4 linked regions of the Styela clava genome follow. The protein of the gene in region 1 binds, or shares a complex with, the protein of each later gene. Links are inferred from orthologs where the notes say so. Each region holds a gene or a part of one and is shown on either strand. Other genes may lie near its edges.

Region 1 (8,140 bases):
CAGAATAGCACTGTTATAATGGCGACTTCATATTAGCGACGGAATCTAGTGAGCAACTGTCATAATGGCGACCGCATTGAAACTGCGACTGTTATGATAGGGTTAGGGTTAGTTCAAATAAAATGTTGTTTTAAGGTCCCTCTTGGTTTCGATCTTTCACTACGCAGTGTTTGCCTGTTTGTGCGTGCATACGTGTGTAGAGAGGTCCCCAACCCTAACACGAGTTAATTAAGTCTCTATCATAACGTCGCTATTATGAAGTCGCCATTATGACAGTAGCTGTTGTGACAGTCGATATTCGGCCTGGATACCAATATCTCGAACCTTTGCAACGGGTTCGGTCCAGTAAATTATGTTGTTAATTTGTCAAAACTAGGCTATGATTTTACATAGTCATCAAAAGTAAATATTTTTAATCAACAGTGGCTTTATCATACTCACCCAGCGAAGTAAACCAGGTGACGTGACGGATAGAAAGTTTTTGTGACACGATATTCGGCCTGGATACCAATACCTCGAACCTTTGCAACGGGTTCGGTCCAGTAAATTATGTTGTTAATTTGTCAAAGCTAGGCTATGATTTTACATAGTCATCAAAAGTAACTATTTTTAATCAACAGTGGCTTTATCATACTTACCCAGCGAAGTAAACCAGGTGACGTGACGGATAGAAAGTTTTTGTGACATGATTCAATAAAATACCCTGCTTCTTTTTTAACTTACCGGTAGCATGTTGCACACGTAGGTTACGCGCATTACTTTTTACGTAAACGAAACGATGAACCGTAAAATCTATCGGAGCGTGTTATCCCTGATGAAGCTAAAGAATGTTTAATGCGTAGCTATTTAGTAGTGTTTTGTTCTTTATTCCATCCATGTACATGCTGTTTTCAGTACAGATAGGTTTTATGTCATATTGAATATATTTTTTCACTAGTATTACCGATCTGTTTCGTATTTAGCGTTTGGGTAATGTGGTTTGAAGAAATAAAAAGGAAATAAAACAGCAAGATGATCAATATTAGCAAAGAGGCAAGATGCAATGATTTTCAGACTAAACTTGGTCCGTTTGATGCGGTTCATTGTACATGCTACGAGTTGGGGCACACTTGGAATTCTTCATGTATATCTTCGCAGTACGACATATTTCGGAAGGCGCTTGTATTCTCTCTGAAGCTATATGTTCCCTTTTACACTCTAATAGCAATATGGAAACTGAGAAGCACAAAGTTAAACAGGAAGAAGCTTGCAAGAAATACCATAATTGCTATACTACGTTCGACATTTTTTCTTACAATGAATTCTACATATTTTATGATGGCATTTTGTTGGTATTACAAAATTTTCGGAAAATTCCATGGCATTTTTGGCCTCGTCGTCGGATTTTTTTGTTCGTTTTTTAGCATTCTTATTGAAAAGAAGTCGAGACGAGGCATGCTTGCTGTGTACGCACTTAATATTGCCATGCAAACTATATTCAAAATGTTGACATCCAGAGGGTGCGTGGAGCCTATCAATGGAGGAGTAACCTACTTGTTCGCTGTTATCAGTTCCTTATACATGGGGCTTTACAGAGGTTCAAAATTGCCTACTTTCATGCAATCAATTCTTGCCAAAGTATTCGGGGAAGAACGAGAATTCTTTACATCTATCAATGAAGTCTATCAAATCAAGCAGAAGGTAAATATGTCGTCTGGACATAAGCAGTTCATTTTTCACCGATTGTGCTGTCGACATACAAGTGGTTGCTTGTCCAACGCCGCATCAAGTTCGGTCAAACATTTTGCTTTAGGCTATCTAATGCAATTGATATTCTGTTATCGTGCCATTTTCAAGGCTTTAACAAATAGACAAAGTTTAGTATTAAGAAAAGTCGCTTTTGACTTTTCGTTGGCAAAGTTTTTCTGTGCTTATACTGGCTTGTTTAAATTGACCAACTGTTTCCTTAGAAGATTGATAGGACGTGATTATCATGAATTATTTGGAGCCATTTCTGGACTCGTTGCTGGATCAAGTTCTGTATTTTACCCTAGCACAGCAATTACAATGTACGGATTGTCTAAATTGCTTGAAATACTGTGTATGAAGGCGGTATCTGTAAATATATTGCCCTATTTTTCTAATTTTGATGCTTTACTGTACGGCTTATGCACTTGTGTATTAGTTCAAGTGTGTATTTTTGAGCCCCATAATAATGTTCCTTCGTATTGGTCATTTATGAGAGGCCTAAGCGGATATAAATTTACTTTGATTTTCAGAAAATTACTTGATAGATTCGGCAATAATGCATCGAAATTGTATCCTGGTTTTATTCCAAGCCTTGACACTAAAATAATTAAAAGCGACGCCGTAAAAATAATTTTAATGCAGCATGTTCAACATGGCCTGCAAAACTCTAATACATGATTAAAGTTTAAGGAAATATATAGCTCATGTAATATATATATTCAGTACATTAGTGGTTGCCAGGTCAACGCCCCTCAAACTCCCTTTGAAAGGGCTTCCCAAACTAGGGGCTGCGGCCCTGGAAGGGGCCGCAAATCGAATTTTAGGGGCCGCATAGTGAACACCAATTTTGCACGAAGTACTATATCTATTGTACTTTTTCAGTCTTTTGATTCGAAACACAATTATTAAAAATTGTGTAAAACAAAAATTTTACGATTCCTGGTACATTTCTATACCGTGTTTCCCCAGAAATAAGACAGTGTCTTCAATTTTCTTTCGAGAATAACACTAGGGCTTATTTTGGGGGAATGTAGAAAATAACGAGATTTTTTAATATACAAAATATGAATAGCTATTTCCATTTACCTATTTAATAGAACGTTTTCATTTAAAATACCTGCTACATATAGATTATTGAAGTAGAAAAGTTTTCTCGCTATCGACTAGGACTCAGTGGTTCTCGAACTTCATTGTATTGTGACGCCCTCCAAAAATATTCTCAAGTCGCGACTTCACGTAAAAATACGTATGAGATACCTTTTAATAAAAGACCTTTATTGCAATGAGTTTCATATAAACGAACAAACAAAACCTAACGGAATTCAGTGAAATCACATTTAATAGGCCATGGTAGAAAAGCCTGCTTTATAAAAATACGAAATCGCAAGGGGGATGGGAGTGCGCAACGCTTCTTGAAAAATAAAGAAAAAATAATCTTTATCTACAAAAAAACGAATTTTCGGAATTAAACTTATTTATTATAACACCATCACAAAATTGAAACGACGCACTTCCACTGGACTAGGTAAAAAAAAATGCGCTATCAACGAAGTCTTTTTTAAGGGTAGCGCTTATATTAAAACCATTTTTGAAATTCAGGCTAGGTCTTCTGTTAGGTCTTTTCGGGGAAACATGGTCATCGCGCTTGCATACCAATGCATATTCTGATCGTAAGACCCGATTAGCTAAGTGCGCCTCTAAACATATCTCATATTTTATTTGTTCTAAATGTTTTATTCGCAAATGATTTGTATACAAATCAAATTCATTGTACCGTTCTATATTGTTTACTTTCTGTTACGTTGGGGCCTATTGCCACGTAACAGAAGAAGTAAACCACACATGCTGCAATTTCGTAGGCTGTAGTTTATTCATTTGCTGAACCGAGTTGATCGAACATGAGCTATTTTTTAGCGTTTTAAAGAAAAACTAGGCAGAGATAATAAAGAAAAGTTAACTTTGATTAGCTTCAAAGGGCATAAAGTACATATAAACGATGACTAATTGTGCTTTATTTTGAAGCAGCATATTTTTCGTTTAGGTGCTTCATGAGCTTTTCCCTGATAATTTGGAGCGCACAAACTGATGCCTTATGCTAAGTTTTCTCAATAAGAGTGAACAATTACGGATAGGGACCAGGCCATCGGTGGTCAGACATTGTAATTCATCATTTAGGCCTGCATAAACAAACATTGCGCCACGGCTGGACTTGCTATGCAGCAAAAAGAATTTATTGAATAATTAAGTAACCTTAATCAGGGCAAATATGTGCTTGTTTTTGTTATTGAGTAGGCCTACTAAACGTTGGGAATTAGCTATGTCAATGAAATATCAAAAATTCATATTTTGAACTGTCCCTCTTAATAATCATTACCTCGTGCTCCGAAAACTAACAAAATAGAACCGAGGTCCTATTCCATGCAACACTATGCAGGCGAACAGCCTGCTTTGAACCTCTAATTTTTTCAAAGTAAACTTATCGGCCACCGCCAACACTCAGTCAAGAGCACCGACGGAGAACCGAAGGTGAGGCGAACGCAACCAGCGACGGACCGGCGGCGCTCGCAATTGACAAGTGCAGTTTTAAGTACTCTGTGGCGTCTGCAGCTGCCGCAAAACCATGGCGATATTTCCATACCATGGCCGCTACAGCCAAACCTATGGCGACTGACTTTTTAGCTGCCACAAACCAATGACGAGCTGCCGTTAAGGTACCGTACCGCGGCAGCAAACTGAAAACCTATGGCAGGTAAAATTTTGCTGCCGTAGCTACGGCAGGTGGGCCGTAAAGACAGGGCTGTCCCTTATGGTGACAAATATTGGGTAAGTTGGAACGTTTTTCCTATGGATACAGTTTAGGTGGATTTGGGGTTAGGGTTTAAGTAGATATAAATCCGCATGATCAATTAAAATCTGGTACATTAATTTGTGAATATACCGTCAATACTCATTACTGAATAGCGCTATAAAACCATGGCAAGAGCTGCCGCGGTTCGTTCGTGGCAGGAGCTGCCATGAAGTGGTAAGAACTGCGCCTCGCACTTGATGCCAAATGTTAGGTACTGTAACTGTTACTGTGTTAAGGAACCTGTTAAATTATTGTGACTTAGTTTTCAGACTTCTATAACTGTGCAATGATTTCCGATCTAAAACTCAGCAAGAAGGTTACAAATGCAACGGCAAGACTTGTTAAAAGTTTAACATGCTATGAAGAAGGAGGCAGAAATCATGATGCTTGTAAAGCGTTTGCATTGTCCAGGTTCCAGCATCATAGCTTTCTTGATGTTAACGAATGCAAGGTAGAACGTTGGATTGATGGGATGTGTGAAAAATTTCTGATTAATTCACAACCGCGTAAAGCAGAACTTCTTAAAAACCTCAAGGTGTCATTTTCTGAATCGAACATTTGTGAGTCATCTGGCACTGGAAGTCGAATACATTACTGTCTTCTGTCAATATTGTTGAATTTATCAGAAAACCCTGTCAACACAGATTACGTTCAACTAAATTCTCCACAAAAACAAGACTGTGGGTTGTTTGACTGGCCCAAATATTTATTACAAGGGGAAGAACTTCCATATCCGACACAGTGGGCTTGGGATGATACCCCACCAACTTCTGAGGATGAAGAACTAATTTTACATGATGTCCTGCACAGAAATGATACAACACTCAATACCTCAATAACCTTAAAGTCCAAAGAAAATAAAATTAAGAACATTAATAAACTACAGGTATGTTGCGAATTAGTACCAGAATATTGGAAAGCTAACAAAACTAGTATACACTGTGATTTGGAAAGTTTCCGCAAACTATCAGAATCTGATATTAAAGAAGTTTACATACTCAGAGAAGTTTTGTGGCTTCTGAGTGGGGAGCAAAATCTTCATGTTTTTCCATTTGTAAATGGCAAACACGTTCCAAATGCAGAAATTAAAACTAATCATGCTACTCCAACATCATATTTGACTGCTTTGTTAAAGATCGCGAGGTATGGTGACATAGTGCGGAATATCATCAATTTCACATTCACCACATCACAACAGGAGTGTCAAACCTATCAAGCATTCTCAGAATCTCTTCTAAATTTCATGAAATCATTCCGTGCCGACTTAATGAGCCTGCAGCGGCGTATCTTTCTTCATGAGGAAACTTTATTGTTAGGAAATGTTATAAAAATTCTCTCTCCTCGGTTACATGAACTTTCAGTAATTCATGATGTTTTGCAAAACAGTGTCTCTCTAGACAAACCCAGCGATTCTAATGCTAAAAAATCATCTCGCTTATTGGGGACTTTGTATAATAGCATATTGGATCAATCTGATTGTCTTACAAAATCTTTGAAGCAGTCGCAATTATGGAATGTTCTCATTCAACTTTGGGCAGATGCTCTTTGTCCTTATTTTGATATGATGGATGAATGGATGTCTCATGGATCCCTTATTGACCCTTACTATGAATTTATAGTACAACGCTCACCTATTTGTCACGATGTCAAGTCTGAAGCTTTTTGGAATGATGCATTTATTTTGGCATCAGAAGATTGTATGAAACATTTATCGTGGTTGCGTAGTGTTCTGCACAATGTTATTGTTGCAGGTAAATCAATGGAGGTATTGCTTGCCTTAGGAAAAGTTGAGAAAAATGAATCTAAATTAAGTTTTCATGATGCATTTATTCATAGTATGTCTACAAGCGTGAATACAATTACCAAAAATCCCCAAAAGGAAAATCTGTTTGAAGGAAAGAGTGCATGTGATAGCATGTTACTGTTGAATTTTAAAAGATTGTTTGAAGATTCAGATATGCCTGATGTTGGATTTAATGCAACTGCAACAAATGTTGACAAGCAAATACATGTCCCCACCATAATTCAAAGTTCACTTCATAATTTGGTTAAAGTTAAGTCTCAAACTGCTGATCAAGCCTTGCTGCAAATGTTTTTAAATCAGTACAAACTTATTTTCAATATTGAATGCTTTCATAAATTTTACCTAATGGAATGGGGTGATGTTATATTTGACTTCACTTCAACCATTTTTCGAAAAATGAGTTCTGGTGAATATTGGGAAGACATTATGAGTCTGAGAGCATCTCTTCAGGAGGCAATATCCGACAGAGATCCCGAAGCTGCTCTTCCTTTTATAACAGTGACTTTGAATAGATCAAAACATACTACAAATAATGCTCATAATTTGATTCAGGCGACAGATATTATAGAGTTGTATTTTGATATCAACTGGCCACTAAATGTTATTTTTACCGACTGGGTCAGAGAATCCTATAATTCAATATTTGGATATTTGATGCAGATGAAACACTGTTTGTTTTGTCTACAAAATTTGAAGTTTAACACTATTCAGCCAAAGTCTAAATCTGAAACCGGGTTCAGTTTGGTATATGCTCATCGGCTTGCCCTACTTCGTTCAAAAATATTGCGACTAATATTGCATTGGCATAATTTCGTTATGACGAGTGTAATCCAAGCAGAAAAAGAGGTATTTTTCACCCACATTGGTGCAGCAGACAATATTGATGACATTATTAAAGCTCACCACAAATTTTTGGACCGTGTTATGACTTTGTGTCTTCTACATGAAAAGAAACAAGCAGACAAGATGATACAAGGAACACTGCGTAAAATATTTAATCTCGCAGTTATTTTACATCTAAAGTGGAACAGAGGACTTGAGTCTATTTCCATTGAGAGTTTGAATAAATATGAATCGGAATACAAGGAATGCAGTGATTTCCTTGGTATTATTTTACAAAACCTCGTTAGTAGAGGAGCTGTACCATTGAGTCTTGAATCTCTGGCTTTTTTTTTGCTGTCATAATAATTTTTAATAGGATGTGCTTTCTATTATATCATTTTTTTATAGCTTTGATGGTAGGACAATTGAGGTGAATGTCAAAATTAATGAATACAAATGTATTGTACTTTTTTCTTCGAAACACCATTAATTGAGGTAAATGTTGAAATTAATGAATACAAATGTATTGTACCTTTTTCTTCGAAACACTATTAATTGAGGTAAATGTTGAAATTAATGAATACAAATGTATTGTATTCAAGAGGCATGCTGGACTCCTTGCAGCCGCAGGGTGGTTCACGTGACCGCAGGTCGTTTACGGCTTCCTCCACCATCAAGCTGAAAACAAGTAACTGGATAATCCCATACCCGACCTGGACTGCTAACCGGATGAAAGGCCGTGGTTCGCAATATGATTAAGCCATTTTATTGCCTTTCCTCTCCCCCAGGATAAATATAAAAATTCTATCCTATGAATAATGGCAATGCTACTAGCCAAATATCATTTCCTTGGTAAAATTTCAGTAATTCCACTTGGTTCAGTGTTCAACCTGCCATTTGTGAGAATATCTATATGTGGATAACAAAGCCTTAAAATC
Region 2 (7,935 bases), on another chromosome or scaffold:
AAACAGATGGAAATGCGAATATATAATAACAATGTATTTTTATAGAAGAGAAGAAGCAAAAGTGTTGAGAGTCTTTGGTAGTTTGAAAAGCATTGGCATGGAACATAAGAATGAACTACATTCTTTCCCAGGGATATTCTATAAAATGTAGCAATTTTCTCATTCTTGTTCTCGTGATATCATTATCTTTCACTGCGTCGTCGTGATCATCCCGCTGCATAACAATTCTCGCCAACAAATAATTGACTGTTCTCCACCGGGTGTATATCCACTTGAACCACTGGCGACTACATTAGCAGGCTTGTACTGTTAATTGCAACAAAAAACGGGTATTTTGAAATAGTACTCTTTATTTTACGCGTATGTTTCGACAGTATTTCCATACACTGTATATGGGTCGCGACCCAAAGCTGGGCTCAACAAATACCTAGAAGGTATCGATTTTATTTCCTAGTAAATTTGGTGCTTGCGTAGTTTGTGCACCAAGATTGCGCACAACCTGAACATAGTATTGTAACAGGTTATGGTTCAGGTTGTGCGTCATTATGATGCACAGGTTTGACAAAAAACACTAATACAAATATCGAGCCGTAAAAAAAGTGCTCAAGGCTGCAAACTCCACACCCATGTAGAAATGATGGGCAATGACCCCAAGATGAATACTCACAAATAAAAAAAACTTTATGTCTGAAATCAAACTTGGGCCAAAAAGGTCCCCTTATCTGCCGGACTAAGACTTTGGATGGACTTTGGATAATGAGAAACAGGCATATTAATTTACGGTCCCCCAATGAGTGTAGTGCCACATATACAAAGGCAAATATTTTACGGATTTTGACATTCTATCCCTATAGTCGGATTCGGAAGACTTTTGACACAGGGTACTCAGATTCTCAAAAAGGACAATGAAAATATTTGAGACAGACGTGTGAATAATTATGCACTACTTTAATGTGTGCTGTATTTGTGATTTCCATTTTACTCCCCTTTCTCTGCGCGACTATGACATAGGCATTTTACTTGTTCTGATTAAAATTTGGCTTTGTTTGGTGCCTATTTCAATTTTGAAAAGCGCTATAATTTTATAGAACACCCACGTTCTACCGAAGGACAAACGTTTAGACATATTGGGTTCCTATACATAGCCGTTGCTATCATTGTATTTAAAGTTTTCTTTTTTCGGAAGTTTGTCAGAAGATGCTTCTGTGCTGAGGAAATTGAATAGATCATTTCATAAACATTAAAAACGAAATTGACAATTACTCATATAATTTACCTATTGAGCTCATTGCTCATTACAATCATCCAATATGATTATAAGTTCTATTTAAAACGTAACGACAGATAGATGAGAGATGCATCCTGGAAATTAACTCAGGATTGTGAACGAATGCTTAATTATCGATTGCGCTTGAAGTCGAATCCATTCCAAATTTCAACAGTTAGAAAATTGAAGAGCCTATAAATATGGTCTTCTTTCATCCTTTTTCACATTTCCCCTGAATTACTTGGAGATCAAATACTATACCACTTCCTCCACTATGTCAAATTTCTGTTAACCAATTTTAGCGAGCGAGTGTTCAAAGATCGGTATGAGAACAGAAAACATTTTTCTTAATATTTCGCTGTTAGTGAACCGCAAGATGAAAAAGGTCTGGAAACATTGTAGGGGTATTAACATTTGAAGGATCTTAACATTGTTTAACGTCTTATGAATAAAGGTAGGACGAATACATGACGTACGGAAGGACATCAAATAACAAGGCTTTAGTTGTGTGGTACAAAAATACACTCATAGCGTACTCGCAAGCGCCATTATTACGGCTTTATTATCGTCGCTATTATTAGGCAAGCTCTAGTTCGTGATTGGGAGGATGCAGTGACGTAATTTTTGGATGACGAAGTCAGGTGAGGGTCAGGAATCATATATACAAAAATTGTTACGCTAAGCCTAATAGAAGGTATTGAGGTATGAAACTACACCCATAGCGGACAGACAGGCGTATTTAACACGATTGCATTATGGTCGCTATTATTAGGCAAGCTCTATTTCGTTATTGTGAATTCGCATTGACGTAATTTTTTGATGACGAAGTCAGGGCGGGGTCAGGAATATTATATGCGAAAACTGTTACGCTAAGTTAACTAGAAGTTATTGAGGTAAGAAACTACATCCATAGGTGCCATTACGAATAACGTCGCTATTATTAGGTAAGCTCTATTTCGTTATTGTGAAGTCGCAGTGACATAATTTTTGGATGACGAAGTCAGGTGAGGGTCAGGAATATTATATGCAAAAATTGTTACGCTAAGATAAGTATAAGTTATTGAGGTAAGAAACTACCGGTACATTCATAGGTGGAATTACTAGTAATCTTCGCTATTATTGGGCAAGCGTTATTTCGTGATTGTGACGTTGCAGTGACGTAATTTTTGGATGACGAAGTCAGGTGAGGGTCAGGAATCATATATACAAAAATTGTTACGCTAAGTTAACTAGAAGTTATTGAGGTAAGAAACTACATCCATAGCGGACACACAGACGTATTTATCACGATTGCATTATGGTCGCTATTATTAGGCAAGCTCTATTTCGTTATTGTAAAGTCGCATTGACGTAATTTTTGGAACATGAAGTCAGGTGAGGGTCAGGAATAATATATGCAATAATTGTTACGCTAAGATAAGTATAAGTTATTGAGGTAAGAAACTACATCCATAGGTGGCATTACCAGTAATCGTCGCTATTATTAGGCAAGCTCTATTTCGTTATTGTGACGTCGTATTGACGTAATTTTTTGATGATTAAATCAGGTGAGGGTCAGGAATATTACGTGCAAAAATTGTTACGCTAAGTTAACTAGAAGTTATTGAGGTACGAAACTACACCCATACCGGACACACAGGCATATTTATCACGATTGCATTATGGTCGCTATTATTGGGCAAGCTCGATTTCGTTATTGTGACATCGCATTGACGTAATTTTTGGATGACGAAGTCAGGTGAGGGTCAGGAATGATATATGCAAAAATTGTTACGCTAAGATAAGTATAAGTTATCGAGGTAAGAAACTACATCCATTGCGCTAAGGCAAATTAATATGTCGGTTTCTGCTTGTGAAAGCGTTCCACGTCCTATTAATAAAATGTGGCCCAATACATGATCAGTCTCTGGATATTAAATAACAAGTCTTTATGTCTGCGGCACCTAACCTCAATCATTGCGTGAATTAAATGTTCTTTCTGTTTGTCTAAAGCCTAGCTCAGAGCGGTATCGTATATCACCCTATTAATAGATCGTAGCACAATACATGAGCTATTGCTGGACATAAAATAATATGTCTTTATGTGTGTGGTACCCAACTTCAACCATTGCGTAAAATAACATGTATTTTCTGCTTGTCTAAAGCCTTGGTTAGAGTTGTATCGTATAACGCTCTATTTTAGATTGTAGCACGATACATGAGCTATTGCTGGACAGAAATTGGTCAGAATGGGATATCGTGAACGTTCCTTGGCGACAATTTAGTCGCTTGTGATTCTTGTTTATTTTTGAGCTCTGTACAACGACCCCGATAAGAGAGAGGTCGCTGACGTATTGAGTTTGTTGACATACTCGTAGGCGCCATTACGGGTGACCGTCGCTATACTTTGGCAAGCTGTATTTCGTTATTGTGACGTCGCAGTGACGTAATTTTTGGATGACGTCATCAGGTAGGGGTCAGGAATCATATATCCAAAAATTGTTACGCCACGCCCACTAGAAGTTATTCAGGTAAGAAAGTACATGAGACCCTATACCGGTACTCGTTTTTGGAGGACCCATTAAACTCAAACTGTTAAAATGAAATATACAAATAAAGCTAATTCAGTAATTATTAGAAGAAAGGTTCATTTTTTGCAAACTAGCCTAAAATGCCAGAACGTCTGCATGTTTTGTTGTGCACAAGCAGACAAGTTTGTATGTTGATCCTTCAGGTCTGCATGTCAATGTATTATGATAATGCTCACACTAGTTCTTAAAATGTTCAAACTTCACCTGCAGTTTTCTGGTATTATAGCAACTTTCTTGAATTACTTCACACGGTGGACTTAAAAAATATATATTACTGTAGTCTATTATCTATCTATCTTTACAGATATACGGTATATAGGCTATTATCATAAAGACATATATTCTGTCAAAAATGAGTTCTCAATTATCTGATGTTGGTATTTTCTCACAAATAATTTTGTCAGTCGACTGGCTTGAAGAAACTACACTTCTCAGTATATTATTGACAATATACTGCATTTGCATCCTACTGACTATTATCACTTGGAAAAGAATCACAATCATGTGTCTGTATTTTCTAATACTTTGCATTGCAATATATTTTGCTGAATGGATTAACAAAAGTGCCGCAAGAAACTGGAAATGGGTGTCTCCAAATCATCAATTTTTTGATTCTTCTGGATTATTTATATCAGCTGTTTATTCTCTTCCGTTACTAATTAATCTAATTATTTTATTAGTTCGAATGTTGACTTTAACAGCTTCTGAAATGATAATGGTCAAACAAATGAAATTGAAAAGTTCAGCTAAAGCATTGCAGAAAAAAGATTCATGAAATTATTGCTATTGTTTTTAGTTATCAATAATGCAATTTGTTATGAAATCCAGCTTAGTGATGTAGTGTCTGACAATCCATTGCTAAAAGTTTTTATAACTGTTTTAGTCTTTTATTTTTCATGAGCCATTTTCACAATTTCAATCTAAAGTCATTGTGCAGGCAGCCACTGCTGTGCAAGAAGCTACGATATTTTAGTAATAGTTACCTAATTTAATTAACCCTGGGTGTTGTGTATGGCACTGGTTTAACGTCTTTCAATTGTGACACCAATTTAGTCCAATCTCTAAAACTTTAGCCACAACCCCAACATGGGGGTAAATATTGAAATATAGTTACTTGAAGCTATAAGGACATCAATAGTTGGTCGAAAACCACCATGCTTTGTAAATTATTCGCACATGTTTACATTTTCAGTCAACTTGGTATTGTTTACTGCGAGTTTTCACACTACCAGTCACTGAGGGAATAGCATCTGCATTCAAGGTTGGCAAGGCAGAAATATGCTGTACTATTAGATATACATCACGTCACACATAGAAGAATTTAAACGCTCTTTTAATATGATTGATTACTATTTTATTCATCTATAATATTAATAGAGGGAACTTTGTATTTCAAAGCATTGATTTTTTAGTACTTCATAAAATATGTTGCACGACCTGATATTTGCATTGCAAGGATATCCTGGAAGTATTTTTAAAGAAACATCAAATGGTATTGTTAGAGTTGTTCCCGGCCTTCCATTCCTATCACCATCAGAAGAATCATCGTTAAATAGACTTCTCAAGCTTTCAACAAAAATTATATTTTTTCAAAAGTTCATTGACACTCACAATTCAACTTTATATGCAGAAGGAGCAGAAAAACATTCTGATGGATTGTTGCATGGATGTTACCTGCAAGCATTGTGTTATGGGCTTGAAGATGTATTAGAATCTTATTATCAGTCCGTTTTAGACATAGAAAAAGAAATACTCGCGGATCCTCTATTAACATTTATGCATGTGTACCATTCGCTAGAACATTATTATTTGCTTTTCGATGCGTTGTATGACTTGATATCTATCGTAAAATCAAGAAAAAGTCATGGTTGTCAGATTCTAAGTACCGTTCATCATGCATCACAAACAGGCAATCGTGTTGTGCTGCGAGCAATGCTAAGAATACAGAAACGGTTGCATTTAGTCATGTATCGACAACTTTCATCATGGTTGCTGCATGGTCTTCTTATTGACAGACACAAAGAATTTTTCATTTCCAAATCTGAAGAGAAAGGACCCAATGACTCTGTTAGCGTGTTCCAGGATACTTTCTCATCCTCTACTCTTGGATCTCAATTGGAAATCTTTTATATTCGAGCAGACATGCTTCCGACATATTTACCCTCTCGTGATGCTGATGTCATTCTTTTTATTGGCTCATCATTGCATCTTTTTGAGAAAGACCTACACAAACAACAAGCACTTCATGTTGGAGGCTCTAGCATGGCAGTTGCATTGAAGGGACTTTCTGCTGATGTTGAGGGAAAGCGCATGGACGGGATTCTCAAAGAAAATCAGCAAGAATTCATGAGGGATTTTCTGTGGTTGCAAAATCAAGATAGATTCTCTTTAGAGGAGTTTGAATCCAGGTTGAATAAAATTCGATCCACTGTAGCAAGAGAACTTTGGGATTTGTGTGTTGTTAAAGCAAAACTAGTGTCTCATTTTATGATGCTAAAAGACTATTACTTGCTTGGACTTGGAGAATTATATCTGGTATTTTTAGAAGAATCTGCGATAGTAATGAGAAAACCCCCAACAAAAACTACGGAGCACGATGTTAACCAGGCATTCTTGAGATCTGCCATCAAAGTACAACTTGAAGAAGATGGTGCGTTACAAAACTTCAAATTAGTTATAGAATCAAAATCTTCTAAAGAATCTGAACAATCTTCTGGTTACACATATGATGCATCAGGAATAATGGATTCTAACGATACATGGTCTTTATTGAGTATCACATTCCAAGTTAAATGGCCATTGCATATCATCTTCACACCACCTGTACTTTCAAAATATAACAAGCTGTTTAAATTCTTGTTGAGGGTTCGTAGAGCCCAACTTGCTTTACAGAATTTGTGGGCACTTCAAATGCAAGAGAAATGTTCACTTATATGTACTGATGATGATGATGCTTCTATCAAACAAAACATTTCTAATCTGACTTTAAGAATGCATATGAGTCATCTGGTTGACAGTTTGCAGTACTATTTACAGGTAATGTATTTTACAGTTGAATCTCTCTGATCTATCTCTGAATCTCTCCGATCTGAATAGCATCAAAATTAAACAGGATCGAATGCAACCGGTTATCTGGGTTTTTGCCATGAATATATAGAGAATTTATCGATACCATTTGTATTGAAGAAAGTAAAAATACTTGCTGATAAAAAACAACAAACCTGGTTAAGATATATTGAGAACTGACTTCATAACAAAATTGTAAAGGGATGCCCTGTATATCTAGGCAATATAGCACCACTTTGGCATCCCACAGCTGAATGTGCATTTGTATAATTCAAATGCTTGCCTTTGGTGTTTCTTTATTGAAGCTTTTTGAATTACTGTATAGTGCAGAAGTTGAATATATAATGAATTAATGCTTTTGTTCAGGCGGATGTATTGGAATCTCATTTTTCTAACCTGCTTTCAAAGATCAAGAATCCTACCTCAACCGATTTTGAGCAGATTGTGTTAGCTCATGATAATTATTTGACTGCACTTCTTGCTCAATGTTTCATATTATCTACCCCAGTTTTCAGAAGTTTACTTGGTAAGGAATATTGTTTTAATGATTAGACACTAGAGCTGGGAATTTCAGGGAAAAAACTTTAACTGTACCCTGACGTTTGGCGTAATAATTTACAATATTAGCTTATTGTGTCACAATGGTTACAAAGCAATTTTGTGTGATCTTATCTCGGTATCTCTCAAAAACAAGAGATATGCAGTGTGCTTCGGACAAGTATTTCTGTAAAACCCGATTCCATTGTTAAATGTCATTTATTTTCAGTGCTCGATGTGCAAATTTTACTTTAAGATATCATAAAGAAAAACAGCATCAACTGCGCACATTGAATAGACGATTTTGCAATATAAATGGTGAACAATATATTTTTACCAAAAACCGATTCTAAATTTATCATTGTCAAATTTTCATAATCAGCAATCCTTGTAATTCAATTATTTTTCACATTCATTGGGTCCTTACCAATGCAGTTAGTGATATTCTTTTGAATTGCCACCGGAGATAAATTTGCGATGACGAAATCATTTTTG
Region 3 (7,673 bases), on another chromosome or scaffold:
CATGTGAAGTGAGTTGTCCAAGAAACTTGATTACCATATCCTAAGGGATAAAAACTTGTGTTAAGATACAATGGTTATATACTTCGTTTGATTTTTTTCTACTGCTAAAAATATTCATTTCAGTTCTCAAAAAAGATTCCTGAAATGCTTAAGTTTTTAGAGTGCCACAGTGGTATATTTCAACTTTAATATTTCAATAAAAGTCAATGTCAAGAGAAAACGTCATCAGTTATGAATCAAAATTTAAAAAATGACCAAACAAGTACCTGAAATGTTTGAGCCCGTATACTCAATTGCGCTCTCATTTTTGGAACATTTTCTTTCTTGAAAACTCTTCTTTTTTCAATTTCCTCTGCCTCTTCTACGCTATCCTCACTCCAAATTCCCTTTTTGTCGAAATTCTCATAACGATTTCGTCTCGTCATTTCATCCATAGCTTTCTCATAGATTTTACCCTGGAACACATTTTATATAATTGACAAATAACAGGGGAACAGAACAAGTTTTTCAACAAACTCAACAATTCATGGTTGAGCAATGGATGTGAAAACTTATTATAGATTCCTTTTATCTTCCGTGTTCCTTTTTTTCAATTTAGTTCAATGTGTTGTTTGCTGTTTGGCGTAAGTGGGCACGTGCACCAGCACGTCTTAAATCTTTTTTAGATTTTGCCCCCTTTCCTGATTTTCCGTACAATTGTTTGTTTTGCCATGTATTGTTTTGTTGTATTGGAAAATCGAAATAAACACTTACTTACTTAGATATATATAAGGGCTGAAACAAAACTGGGTACTCCTGTAGTGTGAGTACTAGGCTAGGCCATAATTTGATTCCGATTTTCCTTATTTTAGTTCTATTACGAATTCAGGGACTTATTTGTGTTAGCCAAGTGAGTATATCTCACACCCAAAGATTTCAGTCTCTTTCCACAACTTGATGTAAAGTAGTGCATAATTAATTTTCCAAATGAAAAAACCAACCAATAAAAACCAATATAAAAGGATTCTACCTTTAAAGTCTCGAATAAGACAATCTGATCGAAAATTGAACGTAATTGCGTCAATAAATTCTGCGATCCTTGATCAAGTAAGCATCTCTTCATGATTGCTTCAAGAAACTGTCTGTGTGCAACAATTACTTCATCTAAGTCTTTAGCAGATTCAACCCTCTTCAGCAAGTCTGCCCATGAACACTCCAAAACCTAGATGACAAAAGAAAGTTAAAGTTGAACCAAATTAGGAATAAGGCACCTTTAAAAAAGAAACAGTTTGTCATAAAAACATCAGTATAACAATTTCGAACACTGTAAAAAATTTGTTGAGTGCAGTGGCCAAGTGGTTAAAACATTGAGCCTATGTCGACAATTGACATTACAGGTTATAGATCTTGATTGATGATTCCAATCCCAAATTCAAATGATGTGATAGAAACACATACACATAGCGCATGAAACGCAAAATAATTCCCATACCTCGAATGCAATATAGTACTGAATTTGGTGAACCAAATGAACCATCTGAGCAGCAAGAGTGTGGCACATGTGAAGTATTCCTCTAAGTTCAGGCAAGTGAGGAGAAAGTCTCATGGATTGTTCCATTGTATCTGTCCATATAGTAGCAAGATTGTGTTCCATGCGTTTTGCTCTCCAAAGAAAATTGAAGCATCTGAGATAAAGTAGCATAATATCAGGAGTGATAATTGTACTCAGTGGTTGATTGATGTGATAATCAAGACTGAAAACATCCCATCCAGTATCGCCTGGATTTATTTCCAGAAGACGTATGTTCAAACGAGACTGAACATCTTGATCTTCGAATTGTGCATTTGTGGCTCGGACAGCAGCTTCAACGAGGCCGTTCAGGTTATGTCTGTACAATTGACCAGCAGGTCTCGCTAAATCGTCATGCAACAAGTCTAGTAAATGTCGAACAAAATCACCCTGACCAAGTAAGAGGAATTTTCTCATTGCTCGAAGGTGGGTCAGAAGTTTGTATCTGTCGCTCAGGACATTCAAAAGGCAACGACTAGTGGCCTCATAAGCTTCGTCCACTCTCTCTTGCAACTCTGTGCCAAAATCTAACGTACTGTCCAAATGTGCATCTTCAGGTAACTGAAATTCTTGCTTGTTTCTGATATCAACTTCTGTACGATCACGACAAACCAGCCTAAGAAAATTCAAAGACTTTCCAACAAGTAAAATTTTTCTTGCTTGGCTGTCTGTCATAAATGATGGAACCATAGATTGTCTCAAGTGATACTTGTCATACCACAACCGATCGTTGTTGACGGTAGGATCCATTGCAACAAAAAATTCATGAAATGTGTCCTGTAGTTCACCATCATAAATCCATCGACTCAAAATGTAAAAAATTGGTTGCGTCGATATGACCAAAAGACGTTTTGTCAACAACCGCATGCTAACATCACCAGTTTGCATAAAAGCATGAATAGTGGATGCCAAGGCACCACCTTTCCTGTCCTTACAATTATCTACGAGCATAGCGACCCATTGCAGTCTCTCTTTAGGTTCAGATGTCCAATCCAAGAGTTTGTAAAAAGTTAGACGACTCCCAGCATCACCTGCAAAACCCTGATCTTCTTTGTATGATTGGGACTGTAATACAGATAAGAATCTGTAATACTCTTGCAACTCTTGAACCAATGCTGCACAAAAAGCCTGACCGACTAAGCCGAAAGCTAAATCCTTACTATGTTTATCAATATACTTTCTTATTCTGTTATGCAACCAGCCTAGTTCTGCAAGTTTATGAACCATTTGAGCAGTACGCTTATCGACAGTTGCTTTCGGAGTGATTCGAAATGCATCTTCTCTTGAACTCATTTTAATATTTTCACTTTCAGTGCCACGAAAAACATGCAAAAGTTCGCGAAGTAGAGTGCTGTCTGCAATTCTATTCACAGGAACTTTTGTCTTGTTGCTATGAGAAGATGATGATGAAACCCTTGACTTGTCCTGAACACTGGATTTATATTTTCCATCATTGCTTTGTACAGTTGTACTTGGATCCGTTTTCAATGTCAAATTGTATCCTGTAGAAGGTGTTATTCCCCATGCAAGACGTGAACCAAGAGACATACTTTGAAAATCGTTTGCAGGGGTATCAATGCTACTTGGCAAACCACTATTTGATGATCTTATAGTACCTTGACTATTAACAGTTCCAAATCCACTACTGGCATTCCCAGAGGAATGCAGACGGCTTGCTGGTGGAGTCAAATCCATAAGTGGTGTTGACGATATAGCAAGGCCCTGTCGAAAAAGCAACGTATTTTTTGTGTAATTTTTAGATTTATCTTTTGACAAACTCCTCAGAAGGTATAAGACAGACCAAAGGTTTTGTATTCGACCTGAAGCAGCAAGTCTTCTATAAAGATCACTTATTTTGGCAGCTTTTTCTTGCATTCCTCTTGTGGCCAAATCTCGTTTAATGCGATCAATAACAGTGTTTTCATTGCAGTTCGGTATCGGTTGGTCTCCAAGGTCCGATAGCATTCTTAATGCATATGCAGTCAACTTCTGGGAATGCCTTGGATTATCATCACTCAATAATACACACAATTCGTTAATTAGAACTTCAGGAGTTGGCTGATTTCGATTTTTCGTTGCCATTATTATTTAAAGATGATACTATATTAGAAAGTCATGTAACAAATTTAGGAAGCTGAAAATTGAGTTTTTGAATAAATTGATAAATGTAACCCAAACTATCCCCATTCGAACTACATTTTCATCTATATTTGTTTTGAAAATGGTTTCAAATACGATACTCAAAAAGAGTCTCAGTAACTAAGTATAATCGTCTAATTAGCCATGATCAGTGGCCAAATGAAAAGGATTGATAAATGTATCTAACTAAAATCAAAAAGCATCTGAGCAGAATTGCTGAAATAAACAATATATCACAAAATAGGCAAATATTATCATTTTAAAGATCACCTTCATATTGATAGAACTTTTAAAACAAGCGATACAAAAATCAGCTTCAAAAACATCAGGAAGTCTAATTGTTGTTGTCGAAGTAAATTCTAGTTTTTGCACACAAAAAATGTTTCTAGAATGTCAATTGTCAATATGAACTCTTGATTCTTTTTTGGTGCAATAATGAAACTTAAAAATAGAACTGTATGTGTCAAAATGCAAGATGATTTTTTCAGTGATAAATCTAGCTTTATATCCTAAAATCAGACATCGTTTTTCCTGTCAAAAAATAACTTTTTTGTATTTTCAAACATTGTGGTCGCCAGTTCCGTCAAATCCTCTTTTCTAGCTTCAGCCATTACTTCTAATACTTGAACAATATTGCACGGTTCATTGCGACCTTTTATACAATGGTCTTTTTCCCATTTCTTTTTCGTTGGAAACTTTGTTTTAATAAAAGAATGCCCAGCATGCGTTGGTTTTATTTCACACCACGGTGCATCAGTTTCAATCATAAGTTTGTCTGATGGGATAGAACAAATGGACATTAAATTTTCTTTTTGCTTTAAAGAGCATCCATTTATTCCTATAAACAAATTTAAGTCTATTATTGCTTTCGCTTCTTCAGGTGTGCCATCAAATGAATGAACAACACCTCCAGATATTCTATTACGATTCTGTCGCATTATATCCAAAAAATCATCATGTGCATTTCTGCAATGTAAAAACATTGGAAGGCCTGTATGTTCCGCCAAATCAAATTGTTTAACAAAATACTTCAACTGAGTTTCCTTAGGACAAAAATGCAAGCGATCATAATCTAACCCACACTCACCAATGGCTACTACTTCATCACCATTGCTAGAGGCAATATCAAATAATGATTTATAATATACTTCAGGACCATGTTCATCAAATTCTTGGCATCTGGTAGGATGGCATCCCACTGTTGTAAACAAAAATTGACTGGCTTTACATATTTCCAAGCTATCCGCGCAATCCTGAAGGCATCCACTAGTTACAATGATTTTATCCAATCCAACTTTTTTCGCTCGATCAATGACATCCTTAAAATCATCTTCATGCTTCTCTTTACCTCTATAAACTCCTCTAAACACAGGATCAGTCAAATTTGCTCCAATATCAATAAATTTGGCCATTCTATAAAGTCGTGTTAAGTTTTTCATTTACCGTTGTCCCGACATCCACAGATAAACATATCCGTCTCTATGAACGGTAATATCAGAATACTGTAATAGAGAGAGAGAATTTATTTTTTCGTCAAACCAGAAAACATATAATAGGTAAATATAAATGATAAGAAAAGTTTTCGGTAGATGACTGGGTGGTAACGATACAACCATTTAGTATCTGAGTCAGATACCACCCAATACACCCACTTACAATAGATAAATAGACACAGGTTCTGGTTTGTTCCACTCTTAGTTTATAAAAATCTCTATACACCGTGTACAAAAAACGTGATCTGATTAGAAAGAAGACGAATTTCGGAGTAATCTCAGAATCTAATCAGGACCGGGGTATATTTTTTTTAAATGAGTTTCCAATTCCTAAAGCAAATATTCCAAAAATTAAGAATTCATTACCAAATATATTAAGTTACAAGTATATAAATCCAAATATTCTATCTGTTATTGAAACCTGTTATTTAATCTAATATTCAATAATTTTAGCAGGGAGGCTGGAACAAACTAAATTACGATAATCCAAAATATATTTTTTGCCATGTCATTCTCCAATTTGTCAATCTATTAGACATTGGAAAGTGTATTAATCACAGTGAAATAGTTGATTCATTAGAGAGCTACTACATGAAAATAATAGGCTTATGATCCCCGATCATATGTATCTGAATTGCAATTCAGGGATAGCAGGGAAGGCAGATTGGTCATATCACGCCATGCTTGTCTCGATAATAATCTAAAGGAATCATGGCCGTTATGTAACCAGTTTTTTTGCTAAAAACTCTCTAATTCTATGGAAAAACTTTTTTTTCAGGAAATCTGATTATTAAAAAGCAATATCGAAAACAAAAAGTTACTTACCCTTCGACACAGTACGGTATATATATCAATTTCAATAGGAAACAACTCAAGGATATATCAGTATATAAAGGAAACATATCTGAAATGGCCATGTTAATATTATACTCAAATAGTATGATTCAACTAATGAAAATAGGATATAATCTGAATAATCGCATGCATGAATTTAGTGTGATCAGTTATTTCTGTATTTGGTGAAGGATTTCTAATAGTATTGGCTGAATGTGCAAAAATATGAATTTGGATTTTATTATCTGATGCAATAATACGATTTGGCTTCAACACCCCAGACATCCAGTCATACATCAAGTACACGTTTTTAATTCAAGTAGTATTTTAAAAAAATGTGATGCCACATGAGATTCCTGTCAGATTTAGCTTTAGGCACACAGATGTTCCATGTCATACGCGTTTATTGTAAAACGGTTGACTGTAAATAAAATGAAATAATCATTAATCAATAAACAATCACAAGATGAGGGCGGAAAGAAAATGCATAACCAGATAGTTAATAGAAGATAAACTTACATATTGTAACGCTCCAAAGGCCTAAATCGACAAGAAACTCACAGGTAACGTGAACGATAATGTTATTAGAATAAAAATAGCAACTAAATTTAGAAAGCAGTTAATAGGAATGCAATATAAAAATACATGAACAATTAAAGCAATAAATGATGACGATGGTCATATGGGGCCCCGGTTACGATACCCTCAACACAGCTCTACCTAACGAGACCAAATGCCACCCACACGCTAAGTCAGTAAAGCGGATAATGCGAAACCACTAACATCATAATAAGATTAAACAAGGACGTCCTTCGGCGCGTAAAGTCGGTATGCAAGAGCCACGCGTGACACGTCAGATGCAGTGAAGCCCGCGAAACTCGCGTCAAAACAGAAAAGCAATTATCGATAAAAATTAGCCAGTCGGAACACAAGGAAAAACAGCGTTCAAAATATAATCAACTGAAAAGAAACCTCGGGTCTAGTATAGTTTAGTACCACAAGTACTTCCAGTGGGCCTAGCATAACAAACTTTGCATATGTTATTGCTAACCCCCACCTAACTATGCCATCCAGAATTACGTCACTACGACGTCACCATCACGTCATAGGGCTTGCCGAAGTATAATTACGATCGCCCGAAATGGGATCTGCGCCGATCTCGGGTCTCGTGTAGTTTCGTACCTAACGTACATCTAGTGGGCGTAGCATAACAATTTTTTGATATGTCAATCCTAACCCCTATCTGATTACGCCAACCAAAAATTAAATCACTACGACATCACAATCACGTCATAGAGCTTGCCAAATATACGCCCGATCGACCGAAATGGCATTGGCGCCGACGATAAAGAACTGACTGACGTTATCGGTCTCTCTCCTATTGGAATTGTTTCGACGAGAAAACGTGAGAAATAACTGTTCGATTTCGGGTGCTCGGTTGCGCGTCTTGGATGGCAGTTCGTATAGTTTGAAGGGCTCTATTACGTCACTGTGACGTCGTAATGACGTAATTTTTGGATGGTGTAGTCAGGTGGGGGTTAGGATTGATACGTGAAAAAATTGTCATGCTACGCCCACTAGAAGTATGTTAGGTAAGAAACTACATGAGACCCGGCGATCTCTCTCCTATCGTGATCGTTGTGGCGAGAGAACGAAAG
Region 4 (8,004 bases), on another chromosome or scaffold:
AATGGAAGTTATAGAGCACTACAATTGCCTTAAGTTTCGTTAGGAGGATATTCTCCAGTTCCTACTCCTTGGGATTGGGCATTGTGCTGAACAGAAGGAACACGCCATTGCACCTTAAGGGGATTCGAAATCTGCGGTGAGTATACCTATGTGCGAACAGATTGCTGGGCTTCTACCCCAATATAACGCATCTCATGTAACCTCTGGTCATTTACAACTTTCCCCACTATCATGAAGCCAACTAGGTAACTATTTCCATACACTACATGAATTGGTAACAGACGAGAGGCAGTAGGTGTTATTGGCTTTCCAGGGAAATATGTATAGAACCAATATATTGGTAGCTCTATCTAAGCCTAATTCGTGGAAAAAAGCCAAAAAAATACTGAAAAATACTTCGGTATTAAAAACTTCTATTCCAGACTTCTTCATACACAATGTTACTGTTAAATATACCTACTTGAATTTATTGAGGGAATTTGAGACTTACTTGAAATGTGGTTGAGATCGGTGTTCTTCATAAAGGTCCATTGCATTCTTCCTGACAAGTTTTACCATCTTTGCTCTGCATGGTTGAATATCATTTGCTTTCAAGAGGTTCAAGATCACACCAACTTTATTCACAGCATCTGGCTTTATGATTGCAAGTGTTCTACAAAGCAAAATATCAGTTGATATTTAAACACGGCTTTTGAGTTTTTGTCAGAAGTAAGATAATGAATCACAAGATAATAAAAATTCAGTCTATGATCACTAAAGAGATCTGAAATGCATTTCGATTAGTTTTTTCGGCAAGCTTTTTATGGTATGCTATTACCATGTAAAAACTTCAAAAATTATAGGAGAAAAGATAGAATTTCACTGCTATTTATTCAAAAACACCATTACTGCAATGTAAAGAAATTAATAACAAAACAAATCTAATAAAGAACAACGTAAGGTTGATTAGGGGCTTGGCTTTAAAACACATTCTAGGAATACCAAGATATCATACCCCATAAACCAGTTGTAGCATTAGCACAAAAATAAATGACTGAACTGAACGAACCACGTGGGGATAGATTTGTGCGAAAAGATTGCTGGACTCCCCGCCGCTGTAGGGTGGTTCACATAATCACTGGTCAGTTTCTCTATCATCAAATCCATGCTTTCGAAAACAAATAACTCGCCAACTAGTCTCATACCCGACATGAACTGGTAACTGGACGAGAGGCTGTGGTTTGCCATATGATGTAAATCCTATCCAAATCATCATGTTTAAGTCAAGGAAACACTTATTTATTTATATCAATTATAAATTGACATAAAAAAAATTTTTATTTCCATATAACCTACCTTTCATTCTTTGTTCCCACTTTGCTTTCGGTGAAATTGTCTCCAAAATCCACAAAAGTTAGTTGACGAGAATAGACATGAATTTTACTTCCAATGTACATGTCTTCCAATTTAACTGTGTCAGATTTGGTTCGACTCAAAAACTTTCGCCTGTTTTTGATGTCATACTAGATACAAAATTTTGATGAAGAATATCAATAATCTGCTATTTTGCATAGCTGATTCACGCTAATACTACAAATTGCCATAATACAATTAACTGGTTGTTTAAAAAAAGTGAATCAAAATCTGATTTCATTGATGAATATGGCAAACTTCTAATCTGTATATCAGCCTGGAGTACAGAAAACACTATTTTTTAAGTTGCAAGTTTTGAAATACTATTTATTCAACATGGTATTCCAGTTATTATTAATGGGGAATGACCATGTTTGCTCTCGATCATCGAATAAATCTTAAATGAGAGTTTTTTTAAATATTAAAGAATTTAAATATCCATACCATTTCTATACTGTTATCTTTTGGATAAAAAAGAAATTGATATCTTCGTATCAATGCAGCTTGCGGATCGTACCATTCTGCAATGAAGCTGTACCTCTGATCTTGAGCCGTCTGTTTTGAATTAAAAAGGGATATTAGCATTAACGACAAAAGCAGTTTTAAGTATTTTGTGGAGTCTGAAGTCGCATGATAACCTAAAATCTGGTGCATGACTTTGTGAATATACCGATAATAGCGTCATAACCCATAGCAAGAGTCACCATCGGTTTGTTTGTGGCAATAGCTGCCATGAAGTGGTAAGAACTGTGACTCTTAGAGGAATTTAAACTTTATGATAAACTGACGGAAATTACAATTGACAGGAAAATTTTGCTTATATAAAACGAAAATTGGATAGAAAGAATTTTTTTTCTCATACATGACTTGTGTAAAATGCCTCCAATACTGAGCCAAACACTCGCAACTTTATGTTGTGGACGCTGCGTTGAATGTATTTAAAACGTGGGGATCAATGACATTTGTTGAAATATATGGTAATTATCAAACACAGTCAATAAAACAGCTATATCAAATGAAGAACTACAAATTGTCACAGATTTCCCAACAAGTGTATTCCTATATGATAGGATTTACATATTTATCCCGTGGGAGAGGAAAGCCGATAAGATGGCTTATCTATATGGCGAACCACGGCCTCTCGTCCGGTTACCATTCCAAGTCGGGTATGGGATTAGTTTTACTGTATTGTTTGTTTTCGGAAGCATGGACTTGGTGGTGGAGGAAGCCGTAACCGACCAGCGGTTACGTGAACCACCCAACGACGGCGGGGAGTCCAGCAATCCTCTCGCACATAACCATCCCTGCATGGGATTCGAACCTGCGAACCCACGCAGAGTAATTAGAGGTGCCGTGGCGAGCGTATTCCTAACGCTTAGCCCGTTGAGCCACATCGCCGCGCCAGTTATTAACTCAATTAGCTAACTTTGTATCACAATGTCTACTTCTTAATAAGGCTATACAACAAATGAGTGAAATTGTTTAAGAAGGGAAAATACCCACCGAAGGCTCTATGTACTCTTGTGTATATCCAGGAAACTGTAAAAACAACAACAAAAAGATGAGCGACGTTCTGAGATCACAATAACAAAAACTTCCGATAACGTTATTACCCAATTTAAAAAATACACTTAAATAAAACATACCATATTTATTTTTTTCTGTTCCTGCTAATTACGTCCAAAACTACCAGAAGCGCCTAACGACCGGTGAAGCGACAACAAAACTGCCAGTTGAAAAACAAACCCGCCGGCTCGTTGTCAAGGTAATGGATAGATGGCGCTATTGATTCAGTTCAAAAGTCACATCAGTTGATTGATCAGAATTTTTATACCGTATTATTATTTATACCGAAAGGAAATAGAACTTAACAATGCGTAATAAAATAGAGAAAAATTTAATATATGAACGATTAAATTGCGTATTTATATTCACAAAGCCTAGACACCTATTGTTAGAACACACGCATCCGCTATTCCATGCCCAACAACGACTAACATACCGATGCCCAACTGCAACAGAGAAATAACTCTCGTACGATTCGCCAATATCCAATTCGTTAGGAACCTCGAGAGATGCTTACCCTACATGACCACGCGAAGCCTAAAGTGATGCTGATTAAATAAAATATATTGATCCTATTTATGCCAAATCAACATGGCATGCGTCATAAGCTCTCATTTTAATACAGTATATCGGAATCCACCGACTCGTTGATTAAATTTCCACTTATAAACGTATGGAGCAGTGAGATCGGCATCTCTTTTTGATGAATTGCTAAACAGATTAACATGGGAGTTCTGCTGTTGCGCCACCAGAGGCACGATGCTTTTCGATGTCGACATTTCCCATTTTCGACCCACCTGTTTGACTTTTTTCTCACTATGATTTAATTTTTAGACTCACTCCCCCAGGGTGACGCTGCTCGATAACCTCTTCTGGTTTATCGCGCCTCCCTGCACACCGAAAGTATTGTTTTATATGTGACTCGTAGTTATTTTTGTCTATTGTACTTTTGGTATGTGATAAAATAAACTACTGACTGGCCCTAATATGGTAGCCTATTAAACTGAACTTCATGTTAGTGAATGGCATTTGGGTAAATTTCAAAAAGTCAAATTTTGAGAGAAACAAACACGTCCGCATGCTGCATCATAGGCGTTCATCTCCCTCAAGACAAATACGAAATTCCTACCTTATTCTATCCCTGTCATATTTCATTTACAACAATGAAAACTTGTGAATATGAATTTATTATTCATGAAAGAAAGAAAAGAAATTCATTTTGTGAATGTTGCTTGGCACAAATAATAACATAAGAACCCCACTAAGGCATCGGATCACACTTTGTGATCACTACAAAGTTTAATCGATACATAAGAGTTCGACCAGTTTCAAAAAAGTCTTTTGATTTGTCACTCTACTTCCATACAGTCATCATAGATTCAAAATTGGGTTATACGATGAAGACCATCCTGGAAAAAATAAACTGAGAGTCAATACACTTTCCATAAGAAAATTAACTATAATCTATATAAGTAAAAAAATATATAAGTAAACGTAACTTGCTTATTAGCAAGTGTTCAAAAATGAGAGCAGAGCATTGGCATGACGTACTATTCAGCTTACTTTGTCTATCCTGAAAAGTGATGTTATTAGCGGTCCATCAGTCTCCTCACATTTTTCATGAATCTGCATTGCTAGGTGTGGTCGAGTTCCATTTGAACCCAAATTTTCTCCTTTATAATCTGATGAAATATTATGTTTTTCGGTTAAAGCAAATTGGCTGCAGGAAATTTCGCCGCATAGGAAAAACACCGTATGAAAAATCGTCTATCGTCTTATTTAAAAAAGATTCAGTATTTAAGAGCATGACCTAACCCAAACTGTTTATATTCAAAAATAGTTGTGTATTTACGATTTTCCTATGCGCCGAAATTTCCAAACATGACTCATGTTTTTCATAATTAAATATTTAATGATCACAGGAAATCAAAGCTTGAACTTATGAGGATGGACTCTAACAGTGCAAGCGAAATTGTAACAGTATAAGATCGGTGCAATGGCCAATTCCTCAACTTAGAATATTGCCTTTTTGAGAATGTCATTATCTCATTTCCCTAGCAGATGCGATATTTATGTACCTTCGGTCTCATTCAAACAACACTGAACAGCTTGTCTTGGTAAATGCATAAACGTTGAATGCATTGGGTGTAAATACCTTTCCAAGACCATGACTTCTCTTCCAAAATCCACAAGGAAAACCTGGAAATGCAAAAAAATGATTCATAGCTTACAAAGAAAGATTTCTTTTTGTGTGCAGAACAAGTCTAAACAAATCATGTTCCAAGTCAGATTAAATTAATTCTAGTTCAGTGCCTCGTGTAGACATAAAAACAAACTATTTAAACCATATTTACCATGAAAACACATGTGAAATCAAACCATTATCTATCATATGAAGGACAAACTAAATCAAAATAATATTTGATATTCATATCAATCATAGGTATCTCATGAAAAAAAAAACTTAGAGGACTGTGGCAAGGCGACCATGTCATCATTACAATCTATTAGGATTCCCAAATACCCTTGCAGTGGTAAACGAAGTAGTAGAATAAGAAACTTCTAATATCATTCCTCTGTAGAAACAATTCTCTTCTGGTACATGGACAGCGTACATCTCTCCTTTGCATGGTTGAATCAAATCCTTCAACCTTGAAGCAGAACAAAATCAAATATGGCATAAGCATACAGGTATATTCATTCAGAATTGGGTCTTACTTGGGTACTCCCGAAGTATGTGAACCAAGATGGCGGACACTTGAACATAGTGTGCACCAGGTTAGGGTTGGGCCAAAATTTTATTCCAATTTTCCTTTTTTAGTTTGATTACGAGTTCGGGGGCTAGCCAAGTGACTCCCGTAGAATTTGTACCAGAAATTATGACCTAAACCTAACCTGGTACACATACTATGTTCCGGTATCCGCAATCTTGATTCACTTCACATACTTCGGGAGTACCCAAACTATTACTCACCATCATCACAACTTACCTTCTTGTACTTTGTGAATAATATTGCTTCATGTCAGACATTAGAGTGCCAAGATCTGGAGATATTTCTGGAAGAACTAAAAATATTCAAGAATAGGACATTTATATTTATCACATGGGAGAGGAAATGTGAATAGTGAACCAAGGGTGTGCGACATTTTAGTCGTTAGGTCAAAGAACCAACTTCAGACATTTAGCTGGGCCTATAGTTTTTCCATGTACACAACAAATTAAAAAATTAGCCAGCGTGCTGTGAAAAATGCAAGAGAACATGGCTATCGCTTAGCCTTCCAGTAATAAAGGCACCAGGCAAAATGCCAAAAGATTTAAAGCAGCGACAAGAGCAAAATTAGTATGTATTTTTAATTTTTTACCCATGTGTGCAGCTTTTTAAACGTGAGCTGTCCAGTTAGGATTTTATGCTTGATGGGGAAAAATCTGAATGTTAACATGGGCCACACTGAATGGCTTGGTGGGACGGGCTGTCTGCAGCACACTGCTGAGTTAAACGCTTCATATACATGTACTTAGACTATATAAATGGTAGAGGGAGTCATAACCAAGCAGGACCCAGAATTTCATTCCGATGACAAGCGTTTAGAATAATGCGCAAACTGTTGAGTCTACCTTTAACAATTTGTGTTTATTTTTACAAACTGGTGAAGAATTTTCATGAAGTTTGATAAAAACAAGGTAGTCTTACGTAATATGGCAGAAAGTGTAAAGATCTCTTACAAAAGAGAAACAATAAAATCAGAAGCTCGACTTATGTGTGATCGCAATGCTGTGACAGAGATATCAGCAATCACTGTTTGACCTACAGCCTAAAAACTAAAATAATTTAGTAGATACAATTCTAGTCAATACTGACTGGGAAACAATCAGAAAAAGAAAAAGAAAAAAGTGAAAAAGACATAGCAACAGCAAGGATATATTTTGTTGGAGCATGGCGATCCCATTTTTAACCGAACATCAAAACCGTAATTAACTGAACATTAACTAAAAAATGACATTGAGGACAAACCTGATATATTCCTCCCAAGATTTATGCAATCTTTCATATTGCCAACAATCTTTACAACATGTACGTAAAAGTTGTCTGTTTTATCAGAAACTGTGATTCGAACAATGCACCATACTCTTTCATTCAACTCTAACTTCAATAACGAAGAAGCAGAAAATGTCTGAAAGTTTGATCAAATAAGAAAAACTCAATAAAACCAATAGAAAAGCAGGCATGGCCAACACATCAAAAACATACGAAGTGCATGTCTGACGTTAAGCAAACCTAAAAAACAGGCTAAAAAATTGTTTTCAGCTCATATTGATGCAATGACTGTTTTGTGTTCTAAAAAGGGAGAATACGGTACCGGTACTGCATATGTCAAATAGGTCTGAGGGAACACCTGATAGAGCAGAATATTAGGTGGCGGACACCGGAACGTAGTATGTGTACCGGGTTAAGGTTGGGCCATAATTTCAGGTACAAATACTACGGGAGTCACTTGGCCAGTCCCCGAACTCCTGGTAGTAAAATAAAATAAGAAAATTGGAATAAAATGGCCTGGTATATTACTATGTTCAGGTGTCCTCAGGGCCATCTTGGTTCACATACTACGGGAGCGCCCATTATTACGCTACAAAACAAGTTTTGTCACTGTTATTTACAAACAAACGTTATCTGAAAGTTTTTGTCTACTCTAAATTCTATTCTCAGAGACTGAGTTCAGAGTCAAACTACAGGAAGTACGAGGAGTTACTGTAACAAAGAACTAAGGCAGTGCTTTACCCGCTATTAAGTACAGATTACATTCTTACTTGGGTTTCATTCCTGAGTTCACCATTTTGATATCTAGCTGGATGACTGTTTATACATTTATCCCCATTCCAACATTTTCCACGAACATAATATGGACAAACATTCATTTTTTCAGGATCGAATCCTTCCGTCACGACGCAGGCATTTTCATCATCAACTCCATAACTAACAAACAAGACAAAATCATGAAATCCATGGATTAATATGTCAATTGACAAAACTTAAGCCATGGTATTGA

Evidence for each region.
Region 2: the proteins of gamma-tubulin complex component 5-like (region 1) and gamma-tubulin complex component 4-like are in contact, whole or in part, in a cryo-EM structure (PDB 9I8M), measured with the Xenopus laevis proteins. The link is inferred for Styela clava from reciprocal best matches to the Homo sapiens genes TUBGCP5 and TUBGCP4. Residues at the interface, in XP_018102626.1 of Xenopus laevis: His233, Leu234, His235, Leu238, Ile241, Trp242, His245, His300, Met301, Thr302, Asn304, Cys305, Ser308, Val309, Gln312, Ala392, Ile393, Leu395, Asp396, Lys397, Arg410, Leu441, Asp442, Tyr443, Asp444, Asn445, Val446, Gly447, Glu448, Ala449; in XP_018110859.1 of Xenopus laevis: Met1, Ile2, His3, Glu4, Leu7, Tyr12, Pro13, Gly14, Ser15, Ile16, Gln29, Pro32, Phe33, Glu60, Thr63, Gly64, Ile84, Arg87, Ala88, Arg91, Arg101, Leu105, Gln109, Leu112, Pro115, His116, Leu117, Val178, Gly181, Val182.
Region 3: gamma-tubulin complex component 5-like (region 1) and gamma-tubulin complex component 3 homolog share a complex: the UniProt entries of both Homo sapiens proteins name them as parts of the gamma-tubulin ring complex. The link is inferred for Styela clava from reciprocal best matches to the Homo sapiens genes TUBGCP5 and TUBGCP3.
Region 4: gamma-tubulin complex component 5-like (region 1) and nucleoside diphosphate kinase homolog 7-like share a complex: the UniProt entries of both Homo sapiens proteins name them as parts of the gamma-tubulin ring complex. The link is inferred for Styela clava from reciprocal best matches to the Homo sapiens genes TUBGCP5 and NME7.

Annotation. Positions count from the first base shown.
Region 1 is NC_135253.1:15,000,169-15,008,308, reverse strand, and holds the start of gamma-tubulin complex component 5-like, read left to right. Parts: upstream 1-4,645; 5' UTR 4,646-4,862; coding exon 4,863-7,565; 3' UTR 7,566-8,140. UniProt on the Homo sapiens protein: Component of the gamma-tubulin ring complex (gTuRC) which mediates microtubule nucleation.
Region 2 is NC_135257.1:8,686,615-8,694,549, reverse strand, and holds the start of gamma-tubulin complex component 4-like, read left to right. Parts: upstream 1-4,609; 5' UTR 4,610-5,262; coding exon 5,263-6,873; intron 6,874-7,269; coding exon 7,270-7,429; intron 7,430-7,935. UniProt on the Homo sapiens protein: Component of the gamma-tubulin ring complex (gTuRC) which mediates microtubule nucleation.
Region 3 is NC_135254.1:11,605,534-11,613,206, reverse strand, and holds the start of gamma-tubulin complex component 3 homolog, read right to left. Parts: upstream 3,650-7,673; 5' UTR 3,632-3,649; coding exon 1,472-3,631; intron 1,202-1,471; coding exon 1,010-1,201; intron 456-1,009; coding exon 267-455; intron 41-266; coding exon 1-40. Other genes in the region: deoxyribonuclease TATDN1-like, read right to left, coding at 4,204-5,127. UniProt on the Homo sapiens protein: Component of the gamma-tubulin ring complex (gTuRC) which mediates microtubule nucleation.
Region 4 is NC_135256.1:6,399,313-6,407,316, forward strand, and holds the start of nucleoside diphosphate kinase homolog 7-like, read right to left. Parts: upstream 3,164-8,004; 5' UTR 3,042-3,163; coding exon 3,039-3,041; intron 2,932-3,038; coding exon 2,896-2,931; intron 1,948-2,895; coding exon 1,837-1,947; intron 1,503-1,836; coding exon 1,336-1,502; intron 653-1,335; coding exon 491-652; intron 1-490. Other genes in the region: uncharacterized protein LOC144425167, read right to left, coding at 4,338-4,367, 4,522-4,640, 5,037-5,157, 5,483-5,609, 5,949-6,024, 6,972-7,131, 7,766-7,931. UniProt on the Homo sapiens protein: Possesses an intrinsic kinase activity. Displays 3'-5' exonuclease activity with a preference for single-stranded DNA. Does not seem to have nucleoside diphosphate kinase activity.